7 linked regions of the Macaca mulatta genome follow. The protein of the gene in region 6 interacts with the protein of the main gene of each other region in a pairwise test. Links are inferred from orthologs where the notes say so. Each region holds a gene or a part of one and is shown on either strand. Other genes may lie near its edges.

The links.
Region 1: the proteins of CCHCR1 (region 6) and NDEL1 interact in binary tests that used the Homo sapiens proteins (3 or more experiments, as listed by UniProt). The link is inferred for Macaca mulatta from reciprocal best matches to the Homo sapiens genes CCHCR1 and NDEL1.
Region 2: the proteins of CCHCR1 (region 6) and KIFC3 interact in binary tests that used the Homo sapiens proteins (3 or more experiments, as listed by UniProt). The link is inferred for Macaca mulatta from reciprocal best matches to the Homo sapiens genes CCHCR1 and KIFC3.
Region 3: the proteins of CCHCR1 (region 6) and DTNB interact in binary tests that used the Homo sapiens proteins (3 or more experiments, as listed by UniProt). The link is inferred for Macaca mulatta from reciprocal best matches to the Homo sapiens genes CCHCR1 and DTNB.
Region 4: the proteins of CCHCR1 (region 6) and SSX2IP interact in binary tests that used the Homo sapiens proteins (3 or more experiments, as listed by UniProt). The link is inferred for Macaca mulatta from reciprocal best matches to the Homo sapiens genes CCHCR1 and SSX2IP.
Region 5: the proteins of CCHCR1 (region 6) and CCDC136 interact in binary tests that used the Homo sapiens proteins (3 or more experiments, as listed by UniProt). The link is inferred for Macaca mulatta from reciprocal best matches to the Homo sapiens genes CCHCR1 and CCDC136.
Region 7: the proteins of CCHCR1 (region 6) and SMARCE1 interact in binary tests that used the Homo sapiens proteins (3 or more experiments, as listed by UniProt). The link is inferred for Macaca mulatta from reciprocal best matches to the Homo sapiens genes CCHCR1 and SMARCE1.

Annotation. Positions count from the first base shown.
Region 1 is NC_133421.1:9,963,356-9,966,855, reverse strand, and holds part of NDEL1 (nuclear distribution protein nudE-like 1), read right to left. Parts: intron 3,091-3,500; coding exon 2,939-3,090; intron 1-2,938. UniProt on the Homo sapiens protein: Required for organization of the cellular microtubule array and microtubule anchoring at the centrosome. May regulate microtubule organization at least in part by targeting the microtubule severing protein KATNA1 to the centrosome.
Region 2 is NC_133425.1:53,369,769-53,373,520, reverse strand, and holds the end of KIFC3 (kinesin-like protein KIFC3), read left to right. Parts: intron 1-116; exon of another isoform or gene 117-328; coding exon 329-459; exon of another isoform or gene 460-636; intron 637-782; exon of another isoform or gene 783-895; intron 896-1,029; exon of another isoform or gene 1,030-1,037; coding exon 1,038-1,161; exon of another isoform or gene 1,162-1,199; intron 1,200-1,406; coding exon 1,407-1,536; exon of another isoform or gene 1,537-1,622; coding exon 1,623-1,852; intron 1,853-2,192; coding exon 2,193-2,327; intron 2,328-2,603; exon of another isoform or gene 2,604-2,796; coding exon 2,797-3,165; 3' UTR 3,166-3,252; downstream 3,253-3,752. UniProt on the Homo sapiens protein: Minus-end microtubule-dependent motor protein. Involved in apically targeted transport. Required for zonula adherens maintenance.
Region 3 is NC_133418.1:99,430,193-99,433,692, reverse strand, and holds part of DTNB (dystrobrevin beta), read right to left. Parts: intron 2,641-3,500; coding exon 2,535-2,640; intron 1-2,534.
Region 4 is NC_133406.1:155,917,551-155,921,050, reverse strand, and holds part of SSX2IP (afadin- and alpha-actinin-binding protein), read right to left. Parts: intron 2,597-3,500; coding exon 2,431-2,596; intron 1-2,430. UniProt on the Homo sapiens protein: Belongs to an adhesion system, which plays a role in the organization of homotypic, interneuronal and heterotypic cell-cell adherens junctions (AJs).
Region 5 is NC_133408.1:168,425,033-168,429,034, reverse strand, and holds the start of CCDC136 (coiled-coil domain-containing protein 136), read right to left. Parts: upstream 2,801-4,002; 5' UTR 2,770-2,800; coding exon 2,712-2,769; intron 2,301-2,711; exon of another isoform or gene 2,107-2,300; coding exon of another isoform or gene 2,064-2,106; intron 1,933-2,063; coding exon 1,825-1,932; intron 1-1,824. UniProt on the Homo sapiens protein: May play a role in acrosome formation in spermatogenesis and in fertilization.
Region 6 is NC_133409.1:151,906,701-151,910,630, reverse strand, and holds the start of CCHCR1 (coiled-coil alpha-helical rod protein 1), read right to left. Parts: upstream 2,801-3,930; 5' UTR 2,261-2,800; coding exon 2,045-2,260; exon of another isoform or gene 2,018-2,044; intron 1,809-2,017; exon of another isoform or gene 1,743-1,808; coding exon 1,676-1,742; intron 1,598-1,675; coding exon 1,384-1,597; intron 674-1,383; exon of another isoform or gene 644-673; intron 1-643. UniProt on the Homo sapiens protein: May be a regulator of keratinocyte proliferation or differentiation.
Region 7 is NC_133421.1:65,026,263-65,030,369, forward strand, and holds the start of SMARCE1 (SWI/SNF-related matrix-associated actin-dependent regulator of chromatin subfamily E member 1), read right to left. Parts: upstream 2,801-4,107; 5' UTR 2,718-2,800; intron 767-2,717; 5' UTR 722-766; coding exon 715-721; intron 539-714; coding exon 495-538; intron 1-494. UniProt on the Homo sapiens protein: Involved in transcriptional activation and repression of select genes by chromatin remodeling (alteration of DNA-nucleosome topology).

The sequences.
Region 1 (3,500 bases), on a different chromosome or scaffold from region 6:
CACACACGGACACGCGCACACACGGACACCCGCACACACGGACACGCGCACACACGGACACGCGCACACACGGACACGCGCACACACGGACACGCGCACACACGGACACCCGCACACACGGACACGCGCACACACGGACACCCGCACACACGGACACGCGCACACACGGACACCCGCACACACGGACACGCGCACACACGGACACCCGCACACACGGACACCCACACACACGGACACGCACACACACGGACACGCACACACACGGACACCCACACAAACCTACTTTGATGACATCTCTCCCCCAAACAACCCTGCCACAGGTTTCTAGCGGCACTAGTGACCTATCGCCACGGTGCTAGACACCTCAGGAGTGACAGGGAGGGAGGGCAGGTTCTACAGTGGACTCAGGAGTGAGAGGGAGGGAGGGCAGGTTCTGCAGTGGAGGCCTTTTCCAATGGGGCGCTCTTCTCCTGCTGAAACGACAAGCCATGCTTCTACACTTCTATACAGACAGGCTTTTGTGTTCTTTAACCTGCCAGAGTGTGTCATGGACCTAGGAACTACGATAGCCTGCCCTTCCTTTTGCAGGCGGTACACAACATCTTGGTGTTTATCTGGTCAACAGGTCGGCAGGAAGAAAGGCCAGAGGTAAAAAGCCAGGCAGGCCAGAAGCCAGAATCGAAGCAAAGCGGCCAGAAAGTGAAAACACAGCAAAACCCACAAAAGAGTTCTCCTCAGGAATACAGCAACTAGAAAGAAAACACCAGCACCAGTAGGTTCCTATTCCAGTGTGCATACACAATCTACTTATCACATAAGCTAAACACTCACACGATAGCCACTTCACAAAAGCGTTTTTCTTAATGGAAAAGGCACAATGTAAAATGTCTATCATTTAAAACCAACACTAAGTATCCGCAACTGTTCTGATTGGGAAGCACAGCCACTCCGGGTTCAGCTCAAGAAGTAAAGCCTACAATTGCATCTCGGATGCTCTCAAGGGACAGGGGTGCAGCCAGTGTGCCCAAGGCCCGTTCCTGGCTTCAGCTCACCCTGAGGTCCCCACATCTCTTGGCAATCCCTGCCCAGGTGCTCTGCCTTGGGAGGCAAGTGGCAGGCAGGAGTAGCGACCCTGAACAGACAGTGTCATCCTTCCCTCCTCGTGACTGTTCTTAAGGGCTTCCACATGCACAGGCACCTGTCCAACCTATCCATTTATGGTTCATGCCTGCTCTCATGTAAGGCACCTGAGGCCCATCAAGAAATATGACTCCAAGGAGAGACTAATAACTACTCTAGTAGAGGGTCATTATAAGTTGTAGGGAAAAATAATTAGGCACTGTTTCCAACATTTATGAAGACTACCCTAAACATTCTCCATATCATTTAGGGGAAATGGCTACTTTCATGTAAAACCGTCCAGTCATTCCATTTACCATTCCAGTATAAAAACAAGGGCTGCCTCAAGTCTGCCTGAAACTCCTAAGCCTGAGGAAAATCAATTTTATATTTACTCCACCCGAGGAAACCCAATGGTTAGAATAAGGTTCTGATTTCAGCTGGGCGCGGTGGCAATCCCAGCACTCTGGGAGGCTGAGGCAGGAGGATCACTTGAGCCCAGCAGTTTCAGACCAGCCTAGGCAACACAGTGAGACCGCATCTCTTCCAAAGAAAAAAAAAATTATTTAAAAAATTTGTTAAAAAAAGAATAAAGTTCTAATTTGTATAGTGAGGTTTCAGAATGTGTTTTTAATACAAAACCCTTAATGAAATGTATATACCTCAGGGTGAAATTCTCTTAAGGGACAGAGATCAACCAAAACATTCCACCACAAGGAGAAGAGCCTTTTCACAGTGCACTGTGTGTCAAATCTGCTCCTTTATAAATGGGCCACAATTATTGGGGATGGCAGAAAATGCCAGCTGCTTTAAGAAATCGTGAACATTTCTAGAGTTGTACCTGTTCTGCTTTCAGAGAAAAACAAGCAAGAATGACCTCTATGACTCAAAGCAGAGACAGTGGCAGGGGATCATGGGTGCCTGTTGGCTGCTTCAGTAACAACTACCTTAGGCAGCACCGTGAGCATCCCAGGCCACGGGTCCTAACAGTGACCCATATTAAGGCATACTTGTACAACCATGTATTACCATGCAGTATTTAAAAATAAGTAAATTGAGGTAGAATAATATACATGACATGGAAAGATAATGGCAATATAAGTCATGATAGGCACATTGCAAAGCAATATTTAAAGTAAAATCCCATAACTGTGTTACAAACAACTTAGAGCAGATGCATAAAAATAGGATTTGACATGCCTTGGAATAACTGTAAGGAACGCAGAAACAGTGTGAAGGCAGGAAACAATGACTTTTTAGTTCATATACTTCTATACCAACTGAAATTTTTTGCATTAAGGATGCTTCAGTCTTAAGACAATTTTATTTCAGTCTTCAAAACAGCCTTAACTTTATACAAAAGTTGTATCTCCTAAACTGTATTTGATCCAGTGCCTAAGTACTTCAGGGCTTTATATTTCTCCAAAATTCTCACAGGGGATGTCTGTTGTACAGTTTGCATATATTTAATTGTGATGCTCTCTTCTACCCCAAAAAAGTATTTGCAAGTCTGCCAGCCTGTAAGCACCTGGAGAACAGGGACCTTATCACAGTCGTTTTGACTCACCAGAGCCTCACACTGCTGCCTTTCAAGAGTCTGCTTCCCAGGACAGAAGCCTCAGATTCAGCGTTCCTGGGGCAACAGACTCCACGGGGACTAGAGGACAACAACAGACATCATGTCCCCTAAGATTAGAATGGTAACAGGCTGCAGGCAGGTTTGCCAAGCTGAGTTTACCTTTTCAAGGCTTCATTATGCTCACTTAATAATGTCACTTTACTACTCAAAAAATTATCACTTAAAACATTCAGGACTTACCCTTTGTCGAAGAAAGATGTATGCCCTGATCGAGAGAACTTTGTGCCATTGCCATTCAGCACCCCACAGTTAACATTCCCTGAAATATAGGATTTTCGTGATGCTTGGTCCTTTGCAAAATTCCTGCAAGCTGCTAATTTGGATTCTAAAGCCTACAAAAAAAAAGAAGGAATGATACGGTTGTCAAAACAGTAGCTGCACATAAAAATTTGCATTTCAAACCATTTCTATTTCAAGCCTCAAAACCTACTCATCTCAGTTGATAATGGTGGTTAGTTCAGCCATGATCAATCAACTTTCTAATAAAAAGGCAGAATACTTATGCTCCCTTTCTAATGAGCTCAGAATATTTTATTTTTTCCTCTTAGTGTTACTGAGGGAAATACACGTAATCTTCCCCTCACAAGTAAGAAGAGTGTGGCACGGGAGGTCGAACAGCAGACCCCAGGTCTCTTGTCCCATCCGTTGTTCGTTTCTAAATTGTAGACTGTTGGTTGGTGTTAGGAGCAGGGTGTGTTTGGGGAGCAAGCACTATTAAAAAACCCAAAAATATCACTTGAGA
Region 2 (3,752 bases), on a different chromosome or scaffold from region 6:
CAGCACCCCTCCCAGGTGGCCCCGCAGGGCCAGGCATGCATCTGGCCGTCAGCTGGCCTATGTGGGGTCTGGGCCAGGCCCCTCACCCCAGTGCCGGACAATGAGTCTCAGGGTAGTCCTGGCAGGGCGATACCATTTTAATGGTGGGGAAATAGAGGTGCAGTTGCCTGCAGCTGGTGGAGGGCATTTTGGGGGACAGTGGCAGGTAGGTAGGTTTGGGCAAGGAGGCTTGCCTGTGAGGAGTAACCAAGGGGCTTGGGGGACAGACGCCACACGAGCATCTTTGGGGACAGGCCTGGCTCACTGGGGCCTTTCCTTCTGCCCCCAGGGGACCCCTGAGAACCCAGGTATCAACCAGCGGGCCCTGCAGCTGCTCTTCTCCGAGGTGCAGGAGAAGGCGTCTGACTGGGAGTATACCATCACCGTCAGCGCCGCGGAGATCTACAACGAGGTCCTCAGGTGGGAGCCCCAGGGTATGCAGAGCAGGCCTCAGGGGCAGCTTTGGGGTCCTCCGGGGTGGTGCTGGAATGAGGTCCTCAGGTGGGAGCCCCAGCATGTGGGGAGCAGGCCTCAGGGGCAGTTTTGGGGTCCTCTGGAGTGGTGCTGGAGCAATGGGGGATAGGAAGTGGGGTCTTCCTGAAGGGAGTACAGGGAACAGATGAGGCCATCAAGGGACCTGGCTGCAAGTCCTGACTCAGCCCATCGGTTTGGGTGGTCCTGTGGGGAGGAGGGGCTCTCTCTCAGCCTGCCCTAGCCCAGACCCAGGCAATCCTTGCCCCTACCTGTGGGCTGCACCAGGTGGCTGTGGGTGAGAGTGGGCAGCTGGGGGCCCTGCCCACAGGGCTCATTGCATTGTGGAGTGAGATCTCTGCGTCAGCTGAATGCGGTGGAGGAGCTGGAGGAGGAGAGATGCGCTCAGCTGATGGCTGAAGAAGGCTTCCTGGGTTGGGGGAACATTCCTGGCTGGGGGGCTGGGTGCAGTGCAAACAGCAGCCAGAAATGGGAGGAGGGCGTGACTGTCTCACCTACCCCTCCAGGGACCTGCTAGGGAAAGAGCCTCAGGAAAAACTGGAGATCCGGCTATGCCCAGATGGCAGTGGGCAGCTGTATGTACCAGGGCTGACTGAGTTCCAGGTGCAGAGCGTGGACGACATCAACAAGGTGTGGAGGAGGGAGCCCCTGACCACAGCCACGCTGCTCTAGAGGACAGAACTGGGTTTGAATGTAGGCTCTGCTGTGTCCTAAGCACGCACCCTTGGGCAAGTCCCCACGCCTCTCTGAGCCTCAGTTCCCTCATCTAAACTGCAGAGGGTGGTGCCAACTCCTCACGGGTGCTTGGGGCCAGGTGACTCTGAGGACCCCATTCTCAACGCTGTGCCTCTGCCCTCCCGCTCCCAATCCCCCAGGTGTTTGAGTTCGGCCACACCAATCGCACGACGGAGTTCACCAACCTCAACGAGCACAGCTCCCGCTCGCATGCGCTGCTCATCGTGACGGTGCGAGGCATGGACTGCAGCACGGGCCTCCGCACCACGGGTGAGAGTGGCGGGCAGCCTGGCCTGAGGATCCCCACAACCACAAGGGGCATGGCAGGCCTGATCTGCTGGGTGCCCTCCCTGCAGGGAAGCTGAACCTGGTGGACTTGGCTGGCTCCGAGCGCGTGGGCAAGTCGGGGGCTGAGGGCAGCCGCCTGCGGGAGGCACAGCACATCAACAAGTCGCTGTCAGCTCTGGGGGACGTCATTGCTGCCCTGCGCTCCCGCCAGGGCCACGTGCCCTTCCGCAACTCCAAGCTCACCTACCTGCTGCAGGATTCACTTAGTGGTGACAGCAAGACCCTCATGGTGGTACAGGTGAGTGCCTTGGGTTAGGGCGGGCCAGTCCCTAGAGTGGAGGGGCTGCGCTAGCAGCGAGACCCGGTCACCCCAGGCTGTGCAAAGGAACCCTTGTCTCAGCAGCTCCATAGTCAGCAACAGCCCCCAGCCCCAGACCTGGCCACACACACCCTGTGTGACTCCCAGTCCCTCCTCTCCACCTTTGACCACGCTACCTCTGCCACCTTGCCTGCCCTCTCACCCCATCTTTCAGTCCTCTCCAGGAAGCCTTCTGACATCCCCAGCTGTGAGCTCCCTCTGTTGGCCCTGCTGTCCCTCCAGCTGGCCTGGTTGGGCAGTGAGCTCTTGTGTCCCGTAGGTGTCCCCCGTGGAGAAGAACACTAGCGAGACGCTCTATTCTCTCAAGTTTGCTGAGCGGGTGCGCTCTGTGGAGCTGGGGCCTGGGCTACGCAGGGCAGAGCTTGGGTCCTGGTCGAGCCAGGAACATCTAGAGGTACGGGGACTGTCACAGGCCTGGCTCAGGTGGCCCTGGGTCAGAGACTTTGGGTCATGGCAGGAGTGGGGAACTGGGCGGGGACGTCCTGAAGCAGTGGGGGCGGGGAAGCTGCCGGAGGTGGGTGGAGCTACAGCTGGAACCCACAGCCAGGAGCCTCTTCAGTACAGGTAATTCTTCTTGGCCTCAGAGGTTCCTGTGGGGTGACCAGCTGGCCGTGGGGGTGGCACACAGTAGGTACTAGTTGTACCTAGCACACAGTGGTAACTAGTTGACTTCTTTATATGTATTATCTCGTTTAATTCTTACCATAACTGAGGCTGGGGCACGAGCATCATGCCCATTTTGCAGATGAGGAAACTGGGTGTTAGGAGGTTAGGAGGCAGGGCAGGGGAGTAGAGAGCAGCACAGCAGGGTGGGGAGCCAGGGCAGCCGTGGCCCACGCCCACCCGCCCTTCCCTGCTGACAGTGGGAGCCGGCTTGTCAGACGCCACAGCCCTCAGCACGGGCCCACTCAGCCCCCAGCTCTGGGACCAGTAGCCGCCCTGGATCCATCCGGAGGAAGCTGCAGCCCTCGGGTGAGCCTGGGGTGGAAGTGTGGGTGGGGGAGTCTCCCCAGGATAATAGTCACCAGGCTGCCCTTACCTGGATTGGCTTTCTATTTTCTTTCCTTTTTAAAAAGTTCTTACAACTTCTTCAGAACCTGTTTTACAACCTCCCCTGCCCCCAGGCAGTCGTCAGGGCAGACAGTGCTGTGTTCAGTCTGCAGGTGGGAAATGAAAGGTCCGTGGGGAGGGGTAGTGTAAGGAGACCCCAGCCTCCCAGCTTGGGGTGCTGACTTTACCCTGGGACCCTGCTCTCTGAGGGTGGGCTGGCTGGGCCTGTGCAGTAAGCCCCCTCCAGAGCAGTCCCTGCATCCCCCTCCCTGCACCTCAGCTGCCCTGGGGATAGAAAGGGCAGGGCTTGCCTACGTCCTAGGTGAGGAGTGAGCCCCACCACAGGACTGGGATCCAGGACTCCAGCCCCTGTTTAGCCCAGATCATGGGAAGGCCTGGCCTGTCCTTGAGTCCAAAGGGGTAGCAGCAGCAGGGTCCTGTGGGGTACTGGCCTGAGGCAGGCCCACCAGTGAGACGCCTGTCACTTTGATTTCAGCCTGACGGCTGGGGCTGCAGCCTCTAGGTGAGTGTGGGGCCAGTGGCCCAGGGCTACCCGCCTGCCCGCCGCCATGGGTTGCAGGGCTGCGCTGGGACGTTCTGCTGCTCAGGGCTGGGTCTGGCCTCCGCTGGTGTTGTCTGTCTGCTTCTGCTGGGTTCCCTCCTGCTCTTGGTGGCACCTGTTGTGGGCTGCCGGTGGGCGAGTGGACAAGAGGCTGATGATCCCGGTGCCCCTGCAGGGAAGTCGCGGCCACTGCCTGTGTGACGGATG
Region 3 (3,500 bases), on a different chromosome or scaffold from region 6:
AACCCCGTCTCTACTAAAAAGTACAAAAAACTAGCCGGGCGAGGTGGCGGGCGCCTGTAGTCCCAGCTACTCGGGAGGCTGAGGCAGGAGAATGGCGTGAACCCAGGAGGCGGAGCTTGCAGTGAGCTGAGATCCGGCCACTGCACTCCAGCCTGGGCGACAGAGTGAGACTCCGTCTCAAAAAAAAAAGACCACAATCTTATTTCAATTATAGGGACTTCTAGACCTGCTTCCAAAAATATATATTAACTAGTGAATCAAGACTCAAAAAACATTTGAGTATGAGGTGAGAAAAACTATATAGCAAGATTATATAACATTATCACTAGGGACTAAAAGAAAACTAAACTCAATAATGAGAAATCCAAAGGATATTACTTCTTCTAAGAAATTCAGTTTTTTGCCATCAAAGTGTTTCTAAGGAATGCTGGAAATGCTAATTAAGAGCATGTGTTCAAATTAACTATACAGCCTAGTGTAGTTCCTCCAGAGAACAGGTCTCCCTCAATCTCAGCAAACGTCAATGAGGTCAACATCTGTGCAGCCAGTATTTATAGTTCTAAGTAATTTAGGTTAATATTAAAAGATATATGTATGTTAGTATTAAATTATCAAATACATTCTGATAATTTGGGTTGAACAAATATGTCTATGTGATTCTCCTGTGTTCTCTTCCAAACCAGTCAAGAGCCAATCCTTAGTCAGTGGAATGGGTGACAGGTGGAAAAGTAGAGAACCAGAATGATGAAAAAATTAACAAGTGTGTTGGGTCAATTATAAATAAGAAAGAGAAGGACTGTTCAGGTTCTGGTAAAAGTATTATTTTGGTAAAGTGCATCACTTAGTAGTTACCTTCTTATATACCATACACTTGGATTAGTAAATCAATGTATAAAGTGCAACTTTTGCTTACGTGAATAAATATTTCTCCTTATGCATAGTTATGTCAATATAATGTCAATATAATTCATGATGAACTTCATAAAGCCCAAACCAAAAAAAACCATAAATACCATAATTTTATAATTTGTTTCTCACCATTAAAACTGACATACTGAAAAATATTAGTGTGATAGGTAACCTTTTATTTCTAGATATTTTAATTATTTTATAACATTTCTGTCTCTGATAAAAATACTACAAACCACATACATTAAGAATGTAATCAATAAATTATATACTTCATAAAAGTCACAATAAAATGTTCATAGGCATATGGATAATAATATATCTTATATATCTTGACAAGTGAGGCTCTTTCTACTTGGTATAGCAAATACAAAATGATTTTATGAAAATCAATTGGACATAAAACTATTAAAACAAGGCTATAAAAGCATTGCTCTCCAAAATTTAAATCTATCCAATAATCTTGTTTTAAAAATTGTGCTGTTTTAGTCTAGAGAGAGTCTGGTCCTTTAAGAAATGAATCCTTAATCTGAGGTACTTGTGAACTAAAGCCATAGTTGGGTAAAAGGCTGAGAAAAATTTATTTTAAAGTATGGATATGAGAGCAAGAAAATAAAAACAGTATGGACGTTTATTAAAAGCGGACTCTTGGCTCTTCCTTGTTCTCTTTTGAGGAATGAAGAAAGGCAAGAGCCTGGAGAGAGGGAAGGTTACTAGAAAAGCGATGGCCTTCCCTTTAACAAACTCCAACAACCTAAAGGAGGAGATAAACTGATGGCAAAAGCAGGAAAAATTAAGAAGTCACTAAGAGATAAGTACTATTTTAACTCAAAGCAAAACAAAGATTTATGTCAAATTACTGGGAGGGACACCAAGAAGAGTTTCAAGGCAAAATGGTAAAGGAAAAAAATGGGGGAAAAAAGGGAACCCACTGTTAAATTATATCTTGGCTATTTTTCTTTAAATTATTCCAAAATAATTATAGTTTTAGCAGCTGATATAGCATATATACAGTTTTTTAGAGCTATGAGTTTGATAAATCAAAGAGGAAACCGGAAGTAATGGCTAAAAAGCAGCTGGGCTCAAACAGAAAACTGTCATCTGGAATCTTAGGCAAGAAAAGTCTATAGTTCAAGTTGTATGACCTGATATGACTTCTTGGTATCCTTTCTTGTTTTTTTTGTTTTTTTTTTTGTTTTTTGAGACAGAGTCTCACTCTGTTGCCCAGGCTGGAGTGCAGTGGCGCGATCTCAACTCACTGCAACCTCCACCTCCGAGGTTCAAGCGATTCTCCTGCCTCAGTCTCCCCCCAAGTAGCTGGGATGAGAGAATCGCTTGAACCCGGGAGGCAGAGGTTGCAGTGAGCCAGGATTGTACCACAGCACTCCAGCTGGGGCAACAGAGTGAGACTCTGTCTCAAAAAAAAAAAAAAAAAAAAGTAGTAAGTATCCTCCCTTTTTTGAAAGAAATATTCTTCTGAAAGCCAAAACCACAAAATCAAATGACAGAGTGACAGCAAATGTCAACTGTAATTTTCAATGATATTAATAGCTAAGGACATTGCAAATAATCAGTTCCTATACTTTCTACGGCATGAGGAATTGAACAATAAAAGTTCTGCTTACCATTCTCAACATGGGCAAGCCTGTGCATGAGAGGTAGCCAGACAAGGCACTGGGGAGGAGGGTCAGCCATCATCGTGTCTAAAAACATATTTAGCATTATCTTTCTCTGTAAAAAGAAGAAAAACAAATATACTTTAAATTTTTAAACAATTTCCAAACTCCAAGTTTAAGTTAATTTAGGATTTTTCCCATCCAAGCTTTAGTGAATTATATGGTAAATTTCACAGCAAAATAAAATATTTCACATTTCTACAGACACTACTACATGCTGTACTTTACACTACTACTATTAGTATATTTAAATGTATTTCCACATACATTATTTTATTTTAGTCAACTATATAAGGTAAACTAGGTTAGATATGACTATCTTCACTTTACAGATAGGAAAATAAAGCATTTAAAGGTTTTGTAGTGGCCTGGCCCAAATCAGACACAAATCCAAGACTGTCCTTCGAGTTACTATTTCTGCTACCCAGTGGGGGAGAGAAGACAGCCCACACCCGAGTATAAAGCAACATCAACGAGAGCGGGCACTGTGGCTGGTTGTCCACCATATTTCTAGCTCTCCTAACAGTGCCTGACATGTATCTGATAAGTAACTATTGAAAAAATAGTCGTAATTTGAAGGGCAAACACCTAGACATCATTTAACAACTTTCTCATTCACAGAACAGAAAAGAGAAGCTTAAATAATTTGATAAAATCACAGAGGTAGTTATGATAAGGATGAGATTGGAACCTACATGTCCAAATGCCCATCACAATGCTCCTGTTATACCATCGCCCTAGCTAGACTGCATTTGTCTGTTCTATCTTTATTTCTCTTTTTAACAAATATATAGTAAGCTTCCACTGTATATGAAACACTGAAATAATATGTCCCACGTAGACACCAAATTAGAAAGCAGTCTAGAAAGATAAGATAGAAATAGAGTTATATAATATAGAGAGAACAAATTCTCC
Region 4 (3,500 bases), on a different chromosome or scaffold from region 6:
ATTCTGATGACCAAATTACTATAAATTTATTTACCAACAATTACAGTAATTCGGTCATCAGAATCCCTTGCACAAATGATCAAACTAAGTTTTGTAAGTAACTTATGCACAAGTCTCCTTGCCTGGAATCTAAGGCACAGCCTTTATGCAAAATTCCATTCTACAGTGAAAGAACAATGAGGATGTTGTAGAAATTAGCTACAAATACTCCTAATTATTTTGTTGTAATATTAATATAAACCGAGATCCAAAATGCTTCGGGAGCAAGAGAACCAAGTTTATAAAATAATTTAAAATGTGAAGAACCATGTCAGGCTGCACAGCTTCTCTATTAGTCATAAAACTTTTTTCTGTTTGTTTTACTCTTAGGGGCTAGTTAACAATGAATAGTTTAATTCCTTTAAGCTCCAAAATTATTTCTATGCCACTGATGTTGTTCAGTGGAGCACTCAGAAACAAAAAAAAGCATGTTTATATTTGTGTACATGTATTTTTATTTTTATGCTCACTAAATGTTTACAATGAACTAGGTACTGCTTTTAAGTACTTTACATATACTAACACTTAACTTGCAACACCCTATGATTTAGGTACTAAATGCTGAACTTTATTAAACATAAAACAAGGTCTTCAAGAGATATTTGTCAAATATTTCACAACTAAAAACAATGATATAAAAAGCTAAATATGTAAAATATATAAAAACAACTGAGACAACTATGTTATGCTATCTCTTAGATATAAAATGCATTACTTGTCAATAGTGGCTAGAATTTGCATCTGTGTCTATACAGATAGTTCTGATTGGTCAAATTTGGAAGTTTGATTAACATTCTATGTAAGAAAATACTATGAGCTTACACATTATCTTTTGATTGTAAAATAAACAAACTTTCACTTCCCATATTCAATTCATCTACTGGTCTAACTTCAAAATAGGTCCCAAATTCAAGCATTTCTACCTTCACATTATGACCCTAGTCCAAATTACCATTGTCTTTTCGTTCCCACTCCAATAGTGCCTCCTAACTGGATTTCCTGGTTTCTATTAGACTCCTACAATCTGTTTTCGGCATTATAAAACAGTACTCTTTTTCACTCTCTTAAAACTAATGTTTTTTCTACTCCCCTTAGAACAATATTTGACCTACAAATGCACACTAAAATATTTTGTAAATCAAATCCCAGATGTGTTGGGGGTGGGGTGGAGAGAGCGAGCAGAGTGGGATTATGTATGAACAATATTGATCATGAGTTAATAATTGTTGAACCTGCGTCATAGGTACACATGGGTTCATTATTTTATCCTCTCTGTATTTGTGCGTATTTGAACTTTTACATCTCTCCATCCTCATCTCACACCTCTAGGTCTTGGTCAGCACTGCAAATGAGGTGTGTCCCACCTCAGGGTCTCTACACTTGCCTAGAGTGCTCTTACCTAGCTCTTTTTCATCCCCTCTAACATTTACTTGGAGTCCTAATCCCCACACCTCTTAAAAGTCAACTACAACTTATAGTGTGTCCTCCTCCTCCTTTTAAAAGCTTCCTTTCTTGTTTTAAACTCCATCTATTTCATAATTCTTGGCCCAAGGGCCAGCTGGCTTCTTCAACCCTTAGTTCCACTCCAGTCTCTTAACACAGGCCGAGTTTGCTTCAAGCTCTGACTATTTTCCAAGGCCATTGTCTCCTCCTTTTAATTAAGAGCAAAGAGATTGCCACCATACTTTCTAACTTACCCCTCTGACCTTTTCTATTCCTCTCTATCTTACTAGGAATGGTCTACATGCTTTCTCTGCTTCGTTTAAAATTAATCTGGGAATTGGCGCTGAAGCAGAGTATTGGTATTATTTTAGAAAATGATATAGTAACTTGAGATAGAGGAAAATACCAAAATGTAGTAATTAAGAGCAAAATATGGGTTTCCCAGGGTGGAGAGCCACGTTTTTTTACACTGTCATCCTTGGGCACAGATTTTATCACTCAATATGAACAGGCATTTCTCAGTTCTTTGCCCTTCAACAACAATAAAATGGGCATGCCAGAAAAAAATGTTAAGATATGTACTCTACAAAAACTGTCAAAACAATATCCATCTATTTAATACAATTAAAGTACTTAAAATATTAATTCCTATAATTAAGATTATGTTCTAAATTATATCTTAAATGTGAAATAAAAAGACACACATCACATGATTTACCTCCAAGAGGACAAGGAACAGATCTACCTGTTCACCGTTGTATTCCCAGCATCTAGCACAGTGTCTTTATATACTGGACACTCAATATTTGTAGAATGAATAAATCATCTACTAAATTCCTCTCCAAAATCTCTATTGTTCCTAATACTACAGACACGCCACCTTCTCCTCAGCAGTGCAACTTTACCAATTTTTAGAAATATGTGAAAAGATCACCTATAGACAAATACCTATGTTCAGATACGCAGGAACGTGTCTGGCAAAAGTCTGAAGTGGAAGGTGAAGCAGGAAGAGATTTAGTAAGTTTAGACATGCAAACTGGAGACCCATTAGATACATTGTGAGGCTTCTTTTGCGGCTGCCTCGAGTGCACTGTAAGATTGTCCCGATCAGAACCTGTTGTAAAACAAGGAAGGGAAAAAGGCAGTACATACAGTGAGGCATTAAATATAGTGAAGGTAAATCATCAGGATGATTCATCTGCAGTTCTGAGTGAGGTAAGAGATGGAACAAATTCAAATTAATATCATTAATCTTGCTATCTTTGTTGCATAGTCCACATGTTTCAAAGGATTTTTTTTTTTTCTTTTTTTTTTGAGATGGAGTCTTGCTCTGTCACCCAGGCTGGAGTGCAGTGGTGCGATCTTGCCTCACCACAAGCTCCACCTCCCGGGTTCACGCCATTCTCCTGCCTCAGTCTGTAGCTGGGACTACAGGTGCCCGCCACCATACCAGGCTAATTTTTCTGTATTTTTAGTAGAGACGGGGTTTCACTGTGTTAGCCAGGATGGTCTCGATCTCCTGACTTCGTGATCTGCCCGCCTCGGCTTCCCAAAGTGCTGGGATTACAGGCGTGAGCCACCACACCCAGCCAAAAGGATCTAGTTTTAAAAATATTTCTAGGCTGGGTGGGGTGGCTCACACTTGTAATCCTAGCACTTTGGGAAGCTGAGGTGGAATGACTGCTTAAGCCAGGAGTTCGAGATCAGCCTGGGAAGTATAGTGAAAGTTTGTCTCTACAAAAACTTTTTTAAAATTACCTGAGTACGGTGGTGTGTGCTTATAGTCTCAGCTACTCAGGAGGCTGAGGCAAGGAGGATTGCCTAAGCCCAGGACGTTGAGGCTGCAGTGAGCCGAGATGCACTCTAGCCTGGGTGACAGAGCAAGACTCCATTTTGAAAAAAAAATTCTAGATGTAAATTTTCAAAAACTTCACATTATTACAAACTCACAACAAAAGTCACTTTGGGTATGCACAGTCCCCCTCTCATCCTCACTTTGACTACAGTAAATAAAATAT
Region 5 (4,002 bases), on a different chromosome or scaffold from region 6:
CTGGTATCCCCCAAGGTGCCTCTGGGCAAGACCTATACTCAAGATGAATCCTCAGGTGTGAGGGTCAAGTTGAGAGGCAGCCCCTCCACCTCCCAGGCCCTTCCTGGACCAATGTTGCACATGGTAGCCTCCCACCATTGCCTGTGGGCAGGCTGGTGCCCGCTCAGCATGAGACACTTGCACAGGATTACCTGCTTCTTCTAGGCTGGCCTCTGAGTAGCAGGACAAGTAGTCAAGAAAGGAGACAGTGAGTGGATCTTTCGGTCAAATGGGGTAACAGTTACAGTTTGGAGATTTCTCAAAAGTTAAAAACAAAAACAAAACAAAACAAAACAAAACTGGCCGGGAATGCTGGCTCATGCCTGTAATCCTAGCACTTTGGGAGGCTGAGGTGGGTGGATCACTTGAGGCCAGGACTTCCAAACCAGCCTGGTCAACATGGTGAAACCCCATCTCTACTAAAAATACAAAAAAATTACCTGGGCGTGGTAGTACATGCCTATAATCCCAGCTACTTGGGAGGCTGAGGCAGGAGAATCATTTGAAAATGGGAAGTGGAGGTTGCAGGGAGGCGAGTTCGAGCCACTGCACTCCAGCCTGGGCGACAAAGTGAGACTCCATCTCAAACAAACAAACAAACAAAAACAACCAAACAAAACACTATCCAGGTGGCTTGTGAAAAATCAGCCTTTCCGTAATAAGAAAGCATTGCCTGTCAGCAGGTAGAGAAAGAAAATATCTGATTGTAGAGGTTTCATTGGATAAACGCTGGTGCCCTTTCAAATGTATATTATTAAATACCTGTTTGAAATTTTCTACAAGGTCCACCTTGTTTTTCCCTGCTGCATGTCACAAAGTCTCCTCTCCCCTAGCTGAGCCATATGAAGCCCCTCCTACTCTGCTGACCACAAAGCAGCTTTCAGGGGAAGTTTTAGGCTGTACTTGTGTGTAAAAGAAAGCCTGCTATTTTAATGCATTAAAAAAACTGGGGTTTGGTGCTGGCCCCCAGCCTCTGGTTGTGAGCACCCGCTCCTTTACTGCAATGCAGTCCCTATAAATAGCAAAATGTTGTCTGGATGATGATTGTTTGCTTTGTTTTAAAATTCTGAATCTCTGGTCTTACTTTATCTAACATCAGCAGCCCTAGGTTCGTCTGGGACCCCTTGTGCCATCTGTCCCTCTTAGGGGGAGCAGGTTTGCCCATACTGAATGTGCAACGTGCAATACTTCACAGAAAGTCCTGGAAAATGGACCAGCGTCCTTCCAGGGGCCTGGTGTTGGCAGCAACTGCCAAGTCACATGGGTGTGGTGGGGATACACGTGTGTTGGGAGGATGGCCTCACACGCCCCCTCCTAGGCAATCTCTTTCAGGCAGTAAGGTATCCTAGAGAACCAAAGCCACAGGCTTCCATTCGAAGTTAATGGTGGTGGCCCCAGAAAGACAATTCACATGCCCAGTTCCTGGCTTTTTATAATAAGAGACAGCTTGGGATCTGGGTCGGCAGGCAGTGAGGACAAACCCCCTGCTGAAAGGCTGCTTCAAAGCTCTGTCCAACCAGGCCTCTTTCTCTGTCTGGCAGCTCCCTAGGGACACACAACCTGGTTAGCTGGGGGTTGACTGGGGTCCCGAAGGGATGCACCCTAAACTTCCGTCAAAGCCTGAGCCCTGGGAAGGGCTGGCGCTCTGAGCTGCAGGAAGAGGGGCTAAGATGAACTGAGGGAAGGGCTGTGTCCCGGCTTAGAGGCCTGGGGGTCAAAGGGAGGAAGAAAGGGAATTAAGGGAGGAGGGGAAGGGAAAGAAAGAAGCCTTTTGGGAAAACTCACCCTCCATAGCTTGCATCCCTCGTCGTTCCAGGGAGCCCCAGCGTTGGCCCTTCTTCCTCTCACAGCCCTCAGAGGCCTCATAGGAGCCTAGAGTGGTCACTGTGGGTCCTGAGAGCACGGAGAAAGGAAGGGCTGGGGGATGGGGGACTGGCTGCGGGCTGGGGTGCAAAGAAGGGGACATGCCTTCCAGCTCCTCGGGGCTCTGGGATCTGTAATCCCAGTGGAGGTGCCTGACTCACTCTCCCGTCTCTGCGACTCCTCTCTCTCTCCACCACCTCTCATGCTCTGCCTGCGGAGACCCCAGTCCTGACGCCCAGCCTCCTCAGAACCCCCTGTTCCAGGCCCCTCTTGCTTGCACAGAAAGAGGGGGTGTGCGTATTTAGTCCAGGGAGACAGGGAGGAGAGGGGCAAGACAGAAAGAGGGCGGGAGCCAGTGAAGAAGAGGCTGAAAGGGTGAGGTGGCCTACGGAGGGAGGGAGGAGTGGGGGGCGTGTGGGAAGGGGTAGGGCAGCGACCGCTCCCCTCCCCTCCCCTCTCATTCTCTCGCTGGACCTTGCCCACCCCACCCTCGCCCCGCGCTCAGGAATCTCCGGGGCTGCAGGAGGTGCGGGGTCTGGAGCCCCGAAGGCTGGAAGCACCGTTGGACTGGAGTGGAGAGACGCGCTGGGGAGGGACCACCAGACAGGATGCGGCCGGTGCGCTGAAGCCCCAGCCCCAGGCCGGAAAGATGGAGACCGGGCCCCGGTGGAGGCCAGGATGGAGGGAGGAAGACTCTGGGCGGAGAAGGGGGAGCCGCGGAGGCCAGGAGCACCTGGGGGTCTGGAGGGAGGAGGGATGGAGGAGAGAAAGGAGGGGCGGTGGAGAGGTGAGGGAGGGGCGGCTCTGACCTGGTCCCGGGCAGCTCCAGCCCGCGGCTCCCGCGCCGGCTCCGGCGCCCGCCTCCATGACCGCTCCCGCCGCCGCCTTACGCCTCCCCGAGCAGAAGCCGCAGCCGCGAGCCCGGGGACCCGAGCCGGGTGCGCAGGAAGGGGGGGGGGGCGGGAGAGGGGGCGGGGCCTGGCCGGGCCTCCTGACACCGCCCCCCGCCGCTCGCCGCCGCCCGGAAGCCCTCCCAGCACTCGGGAGCTCCGAGCCGGTGCAGGGGGCGGCTTGGGAGGGTGAGCGCGACCCCAGATACGCCCCAAGTCTCTCCCCGAGGGAGCGTGGGGAGCTGCGGGGCCCGGACAGTGTCAGGAGCTCCTAGGCTTAAGGCTGTCCCAAGAGGGAGGAGCGAGATCCCCTGGTTCTGGCAGCAGATCCCCCCGGGATCTGCTGTGCGCAGGGACCCTTCTGCACCAGGTGTCAGGGCCCAGTCATGCTCAGCAATGGGGACAGCAAAGGACGAGGTGGGACTGTTTCCTCCAAGCGCACAGACACGCGCGCCCCTCCCTCCTTCCCTCCCCCGCCCGGCCGGCGCCCCCACCAAGCAGTCGGCGCGGACTCCGGCCTCAGGCCCTGCTCAGCCCTGCCCGGTGGCCCCTCGGCAGCCTGGGGGCCGGAGGAGGGAAGTCGAGGCCCTGATGGGCGAACGGCAGGGCCCTGACCTTTCCGCTTTCTGCGACCCCCTACCGAACCAGGGCCAGGGACCCTCTTAGGGGGGCCCTCCGGTGGCCCCACCAAGCCTCAGGGCCCGAAGACCCCCTCTCCTCCGCCCTGCCTTCCCTTCCGGTCCCACACCAGGTGGGCTGTGAGCCACGCCCCCACTGTAGCCCGCGAGAGTGGGCACGACTGATGTTCACTCTCGTGGAAGGGAGATTTGGAAGCCCAGGGGGCTTATTTCACGTCTTCCACCATTCTTTTATTCAAGCTATGTCCACTGGGTGCCGGCTTTTGAAGAGGCAGTTCTCACATCTCGGCAGGTCTCAGCAAGGATAGAAGTGGGTACAGTTCGCAACAGGGGCTCCCCAGCACATCCAGGAAATGGCTGGGAGATTCCTAAGCCAGGGACACACGCAGATCCCTTCTCTAGCACATTCACTCACATTGTCTGCGTTCCCCCCGCTGCAGGAAAGGGGTCCGGATCCAGACCTCAGGAGAGGGTTCTTGAATCTCACGCAAGAAAGAATTCAGGGCAAGTCCGTAGAATAAGGTAAAAGCAAGTTTATTAGGAAAGCAAAGGAATAAAGAATGGCTACTCCA
Region 6 (3,930 bases):
CTCCCTAGAGAGAGCTACATACAGACAGATTCAACATCAAATGTGTATATCATTAGGCCACACATTCTTTTTGTTTTTTGGTGTTTTTTTGTCTTATTTATTTTTTATTTTTAGGCCACACATTTTAAGTGGAAAGGTTGGAAGAACAGAGACTTCTCAATTCTGATTTAAGGGCAAGAAGTTTGAGGGAGGAATGGGCATAGAGAGAGCTGAGCTTCCAGTATCAATATGGTGAGGCCAGGTGCTAGTTAAAATGCATTTATTGAGTGTTAGGTATACTTTATGAGGAGTCTGAGAGAACAGTACATAAATAACATAGTGCCAGCCTTTGGAGACATTGTCTACCAATATCATGTGAAGTTTAATCTAGCTTGGAACGTGGCTCCTGAGGCAGCTGTCTCTCTGACACCCAGGACCACAGGAGATTGTTGTTGTTGTTTTTAGAGACAGGGTATCACTGTGTCACCCAGGCCTCAATGCAGTGGCTGGATCATAGGTCACTGCAGCCTTCAACTCCTGAGCTCAAGTGATCCTACCACCTTAGCCTCCCGAGTAGCTGGGACTACAAATGCATGTCACCACAGCTAGCTAATTATTTTCTGTGGAGACGAAGTCTCGCTTTGTTGCCCGGGCTGGTCTTGAACTCCTGGGCTCAAGTGATTCTCCTGCCTCAGCTCCCAAAGTGCTAGGAGTATAGGTGTGAGCCACCATACCTGGCCTTTTCTTTATTTTCTTTCTTTCTTTAAGTATCAGGGATCTGTAGGCTAGGGAAATTGACTTGCCAAATGTCCTCTAGCTGGTAGCCAAACTAGAAATAGAGTCTCTGTCTCCTGACACCCAGTCTAGTGCTCCTTCTTCTTCATTGTGCTGCTGCTTCTAATGTAATCCTACTCTAGAGCAAAATGGCAGAATGCTATCCCAGTACATCTGGGAAGACACATGAAACAACAAGAATAAGAATGTTTACAGACAATACGACAGCATGGCCAGCTCCCATAGCATGTCCTCTGTAAAGGCTTTCTTCCATCAGAATGAACCCACACTGCCACAGTGCTGGGTCTCTACTTCTAGTTTGCACTTCTTCATCTTGCCTCATACTATGCTTTACCATCAGTTGATGGTCAATCTATCTCCCCTCTTAAGATTTTAGATTCCTTATTAATTACAAATTTAAGTCAGGATTTGTCTTATTCATTATTGTTATCCTCATCCCTAGCACCTAGCACACTGCTTTATTATCTAAGCACTGCAGGAACTAATAATTGCTTGCATAAAAATGAGTAGGTTCTGGAAACTAGGGCCGAAATAGGGTAAGGAGTTTATTCCAGTGAAGAAGGGTCACTAGCAAGCCAGCCTGAGAAAACAGCGAGGATGGATCCCTACCTGCCTCTCCGCCCTGGCTCCTGCCTGTCACTGGAAACATCCTGTTTCCACATGGTCACTTGAGGTCTCTGGGTGTCTAGTCGCCTCTCTGAGACATCTTGATGGCCTGGGGGTTGGACCAGGGGAATGTCTGAGAGCCAGGTGGGAGCCATTCTCGGCAGAGTTGAAAGGGGCCGAGCTTGAAAATGGGAGGGAGGAATCAGCCCAGTGGAACCTGAAGAATTACAAAATCAAAGATGGTCAGTTTCCCAGGCAGAGACAACCACCACTCCCCTTGTCTGGTCCCACTGACCTGAAGGTGGAAACATCTCCACATTATTTGAAGGCTCTAGATTCTGTCTCCAGCCATCTATGTTCCCCTGGACAATAGGAGAAACAAAGACACTCCAATTCAATTTTCAGGCCACCTTCCAAAGAGAAAGCCCCTACAATAACAAAGTCATAATCCTTGAATTACAGCCAGGTCCACCCGATGCTCAGCTCTTTTCCTACTTCCCCAAAGAAGTAGGAGATACCCCAAATTCACTTGCTTGTCTCAACCTGGTTCCTCAGGGAACCCAGGCAACTAACTATCAAGTGGAGAGAATTTACTGAAAAAGACAGACCGAGAGGGGCTCTGAGGCTTTACTCATACTTTCAGGATTCTGGGCAGTGCCTTTACCCTCCTCCTTAAGTTTCTATGGTCCCTGCTGCCCCTGGCCAGAGGTGAGAAAGGAGGTACACAGTGCAGGGGTCTTGAGCGCCATCTCCAGAGTTCTCTCCATGGCTCAGCAAGGCCTGGGGGAATCCCATCCAGACACCACCAGGCCATGACTCTTGGGTCCTTCCCTATTAAAGTGCTGGCCCAAGGCCTGGCCCCAGCTGAATGTGGCCACATGCAGGGCTAGACCCTTCCCAAGACCTTGGGAATCCAAGCAGCCTAGATCCCCAGGCAGAAAAGCCAGCGTCCTGACATCTCATCCAAATCTTTCCTGCGGCTGTCCTCTCAGCTTCTCTCTACTATCCCCTCAGCTTCCATGCCTGCCGCCCGCCTCCTCTTTCTCGAGTCCTAACACATAGTGGGCACTTTAAGACCTTCCCCCCACCCTCCCACCCTCATTAATCTATTTTTTACCCGAATCTGGGATCCCTACTCCGGTCCCTTTTTACATCCTAATCTACTTTTTTCTGAAGGAATTGTTCTGGTCCTCACCCTCACCCCCATCTCTCAATAGTCTGCTCTCGCCCCCTGTACGCTAGCCGGCTCTGCTCTCCCCCCACTGCTCCCCTAGATACCCAAGGCTGTTCACCCAGTTGGCCCCTGAGCTCTAAGGCTGTTCTGATCTCCTCATCTACCCCTTCACCTGGCCCCTGTTCCCCCTTCCCCTTTGGACCCCTTGAACCCTCCCAGCACCCCCGCTCAGCCCCTTCCCGCCCACAACCGACTCTTCCCGAACGTCCCTTACCCACCGCGAGAACCCCTACTGCGCCTTGACCACACCCCCTACGCCTCGCTCCGGGCCCCGCCTCTGCCTCGGCCTCTGACCGCGCCTGCGCAAGGCGGGCGCCCTAAGGTCCTACCTCACTGTAGGGAGGAGGAAAGGTGTACGCAGGCGCAGTGGCGTCTAAATCTGGGCCCACAGAATGTGTCGACGCATCTCCGCGCCCAGGCGGCTCCTCCCCACTGCGGGAACCCGGGAAAACTTGTGAACTAATCAGAAAAAGCGGAAGGCGGGAGATCTTAGGGAGCCGTCCAATGGCGCGGAAGAGAGCAAATGAGCTGGCCAATCAGAAACGGCACGGGGGCGGGCTCGCTCGGCGCGAAGTTCGGGCCCGGGAATTCCGAAGGAGGGGTAGGCGCTGCCCGCGCGCCGAGGCCGCGCCCCTCCTGGCCCCGGCTTCCTGGCTGTCAAACAGCTGCAGCAGTATCGGCTCCAGCCGAGGAGCCCAGGGGGTCCCGGGACCCGCGGCACAGGCTGGCACTGCTTGAAGAGGAGGCTACTCGGAGACTGCACCCCGCTGGTAGATCCGAAACGGGGCTGGGGCCGAGAGGGAAAAGGCCGGGTATGCCTTGCATGATCGCGGGGAGCCCCTTCCTGTTTTTTTTTTTTTTTTTTTTTTTTTTTTTTTTTTTTTGAGACGGAGTCTCGCTCTGCCGCCCAGGCTGGAGTGCAGTGGCCGGATCTCAGCTCACTGCAAGCTCCGCCTCCCGGGTTCACGCCATTCTCCTGCCTCAGCCTCCCGAGTAGTTGGGACTACAGGCGCCCGCCACCTCGCCCGGCTAGTTTTTTGTATTTTTTAGTAGAGACGGGGTTTCACCGTGTTAGCCAGGATGGTCTCGATCTCCTGACCTCGTGATCCGCCCGTCTCGGCCTCCCAAAGTGCTGGGATTACAGGCTTGAGCCACCGCGCCCGGCCTACCCCTTCCTGTTTTTATCCCACCTAGAGAAGCCGGGAAGTAGGGGTTTAGGTCCAATTTGTTGGAGTACTTAAGAACTCGTTTGCACTTCCTTTTGGGGGATGACAGTAGATTCATTGCCCTCGGAGGTTCAAACTAGTTATGAGTGA
Region 7 (4,107 bases), on a different chromosome or scaffold from region 6:
TCTTTACTTGAACAGCTTGAAAATACTTACAATGAGTATAGTTTCAGAAGCTTTATTGTTTAATATGAAAATTTTATAGAGAGACAAGAAAGGAGAGAAAAACATAACCAGTTGAAGGTTAGGTTTAACAAAAAAGCCAGAATGAGCATTCATTCAGTAACAACTTAAAGACTCTTAATAGTGAAGATTAATAAGAAAGAAATGGTAAAACTTTCACTTATTTCCCATTTACAAAGAAAAAAACAAAACAAACTGAGCATAGGAGGTTGGAGTTTTACAGTATTGTTTCTTTAAATGTTGGGGTTGGTTCAAGGAAAGATGCAAATAATTATTTTATTTAGTAGGAAATGCTTTTTTTTTTTTTTTTTTTTTTTCTTTTAAGCTGAATTTCATCCTGTTGCTGTGATGATTGAGTGACTGTCACTGGAAGACATCTGGGTTTTTGTATCAAGGCCAGACTTGGCTATTACATTAACAAGAAAATTAAAACTTACTGTTGCAGGAGCTGGGGTGGGAGGTGGGGCATAAGATGGTCTTTCTGTTTGAAAGAAAATAAATAACTTCTTGTAAACAACTGAGATATAATACTATGCAACAAAACTACCAATGGTCCTGTTTTGAAGAAAAAAAAATGAGAGTATTTTGGAATTCCCACTTGCTAGGGCATTAGTCTCTTATTAACATAGATCGATAAATATAAAAATTGAAACTTACTTGACATTTTGGAAGATTAAGTTCTCAGTTCCTTAAGAATGAATCTGAGACACTAAAATAAAAAAAAAAGGAAAAAAAAAGAGAATCAAAACTCAGCAAGCATACGAGAATGTTTTCCTAATGAATAGGGTAATTTAATTGGTATTTCTGAGTAAAACTACTTCACCTTAATTCCTAGTAATTAAGCCTTTTGCATATTTTAACTAGTTCTTATAGGAGATTTGGTTGATTAGAATTAAATGACTAAAATAAAGTACTGGGGATATTTAGAAATGTACTTTCAGGTTTTTTCTTGGGATACTAAGCTACCTCTTGTATGGAAAACATTTTGCTGACGCCATGTAAACATTTCATCGGACTGATACAAGCATGAGAATACAAAGTGATGTATTAGAGTCCAACCCAACAAGGCCTACCAGATACTGACAGCTCCTTGATCAGCAACTGTACCATGTTTTTGGGATAACAATTTTTATTAAAATTGGGCAGCATTTTATTCCTGGAAGCAGTGCAAAAGGTAATTGGTATGACAATGAACTTCGCATTCTCTTAAGAGTGGTAAATAGCTTCATAAATGCTGGGAATAAATTTTGAGAGTCTACCTGAAAAATTCTTATTCACCCTTCACGGCCCATTTCAAAATTTTTCTCCTCAATGGAACTTTCTTGATACATTACCTGGGCAGAATTAATTGCTCCCCCATCTGTATTCCTATACAGTTTACACAGATCTATGATATTATTATAACTTTTTTTAACTTGTCAATATGGCTAGATTGTATGCTACTTGGAAACAGGGACCATGGCAGGACCCAGCTCAATTCTTAGGAAATTTTTTCCTAGTATTACCAGCTCACAACATAATCAGGCACATGTGAGCTTGTTCTTTACATCAACATACATCACAAATAGTGAGGTACAAAAAGACAAAAATTCATCTTTAGAAAGAAGGCAAATAAACTTCTATGACTATTGGAGGTATTTGCATCTAAAGTTATGTGGAATAGATCCGATTTTTCACTTCTATTACTCATTTTAAGGAAATTCCCTGGAGCGTAAGGAATGAGTCCTGGTGTGGAAAGAAACAGTTCATTTTCTCAATGGTCCAACCTGAGTCTTTCCCTCTTAAAGAACAGTCAGAAACCTTTGACTCTGGTGTAGATTTCCTTTCTGCTCACATTAAGGGAGCTGTCAACATCCAGCAGGCCTCGCTGCAGGGCACCCTGACAACTGCCATAAGCTAAGCTCCCTGTACGTTATACTTCATTGTTAATACTTTAAAATTATGGTTCTCCTTTGCTAGAACATAAAATTTAAGAGTGGGCTTGTACATTTGTCCACCGTTGGATCCATCCTTGGTGCCTGGCATAAAAATAAATACCCGATAAATATTTGTTCAAGAAATACTTTATACGGGGTAGGCTTATGACCCTATTTCGCTTAACAGTCACAAGTACTTGATATGTACAGCTATCCCCATTTTACAGATGAAACAAGGGAGTCTCGGAGAGTCTAAACAACTTGTCTGAAGCCATATGCAGCCAGGAAGTGCCAGAGTTGGGTTTCAAACCCAGGCCAAACTATTTCAGAGCGCTGCTCGTCTCCATAAGCCACATCTTGAGTCCTCAGGTCGCTGCCTGAACCAATGGGGGAACCTTATTCCTGGGGGTGAGAACCACGGACTTGCCTCGCCCGCGGGCTTCCTGAGGTCACTCTCATTGTCTTGGAGAACGTACTTTACTAGCAACTCCCCTAAAACGGGGTATGCACAGGTGCTTTGACCAATTTCGGGTGACCGGCCTTGCCTCCAAGGAGGGGGCCCCAGATGGGACTCCCTTCCAACCCTTGCTCTGCTAGGCCTCAAGGAGGCCGCAACCGGCTCCCGGCTGTGGCCCCACGGCCAAGCCTGAACCCCAGCAACCCCCGGGAACTCGGAGTTCAGCCAAGCGGGGACACCACGACTTGCCCCCACCGACCCGGTCCGGCCCACTTGGAAACACTCACCCGCGGGCAGAAAAAGCGCCCGCAGCTCCGGCTTCGCTTCCCTTTGTCCCGCGCACGCCCCGCCCCTCGCGTCCGGAGCTTCCGCACTCGCACTTTCCACACTCTTCTTAATTTTTTTTTTTTCCGGGCCCCACCCGACCCTCTTTGGAAAAAATAAACCTTCTAGTGAGGATGCGGTGATGCTTAGCACACTCCGGGATTTTTTTCAGGCCCCATTGGTTCCTCAAAACTCTCCGAATTTGGATACTTTCCTAGCCGGGCGCCGATTCGTCACGGCGAAGAGGGCCGAAGAGAACCGACCGCGGGATAGGCCTGGGTTTAGCGGCTGTGAGGAGCTGGAGCGGCCGCAGCGACCGAGGAGGTGGCGGGAGGCGCCGGGCCTTGCGGAGGGGCGGTGGGGGCTGCAGTGGGAGACGGCGGGAGGCACTCAGCGCGAGGCCGCGGAACCACTGTGGCCGCGCGCAGCTCGGCCAGACTCCGGCTGAGCCCGCCCCTGGAGGGGCCCTCCCCGACCCGGGTCTTTCCTTTCGGCTGTGGGCCAGAGTCTACACTTCACTATGCCGGGGATGGAGGCGTGGAGGACTCGCTTCGCGGCGTTTGCGTCCTCGCAGACGCCTCGCAGGACTTCCTGCCCTCACGGCACGGTAGTAGCTTTGGCGAAAAGCAGTACGAGTTTTGCAGTTTTTCCAAGCGCTTTTAGGGTGTAATCGTCCCAGGTTTCTGAGCCAAGGCCCGGAGAGGTTGACCCTCTTGCAACAGCTTGTGTGTCCTTGCAGCGCCGCGGGTGCCACCTGGTCTCCGCCCCAAAGCTGCCTTGGCTCCTTCGGTTCCCGCCAGCGGGAACGACCGACCCCACTTTCAGCTTAAACTCATCTGTCCTTCCGGATCCAGCTCAGAGGTCTCTTTGTGATGCCCTCCAGGAACTTCCCCCGCTAGTAATCCTTCCTTTGTATTCCCGTGGCTCTTTGATAATAATGACTGGAGTCCTGAACCTGACCCTTTGTATCGGACCGTGTTTGTCATCTCTAGTGCTTTATGAAGGCCTTGAAAGCAAGGTTCAGCCGTTTGTATTGGTCATCTTCCCCTTGCCAGTGCCTACGAAGGACTTGACTCATTCACTGTTAGACGCTCAGTAAATGTGTATTGAGGCAGCCCCCTGTGCTACTCCGGGACTCTTTCCACTACATCATGAGTATGTTGGTTTACCAGATGGAGTGAGTAGCCTTCTCTTTGGATACATAAACACCTGACGGATATTGTGGGCCACTGTGGAGGAGAATGAACAGATGGGACCCCTGACCTGTCGTTACTTGAAAACAGTTGACATTTAGAGAGAGAGGCTGAATTCTTGGGCTGCCCTTAGCCCTCATCCTGAGTGTGCCAACAGGGA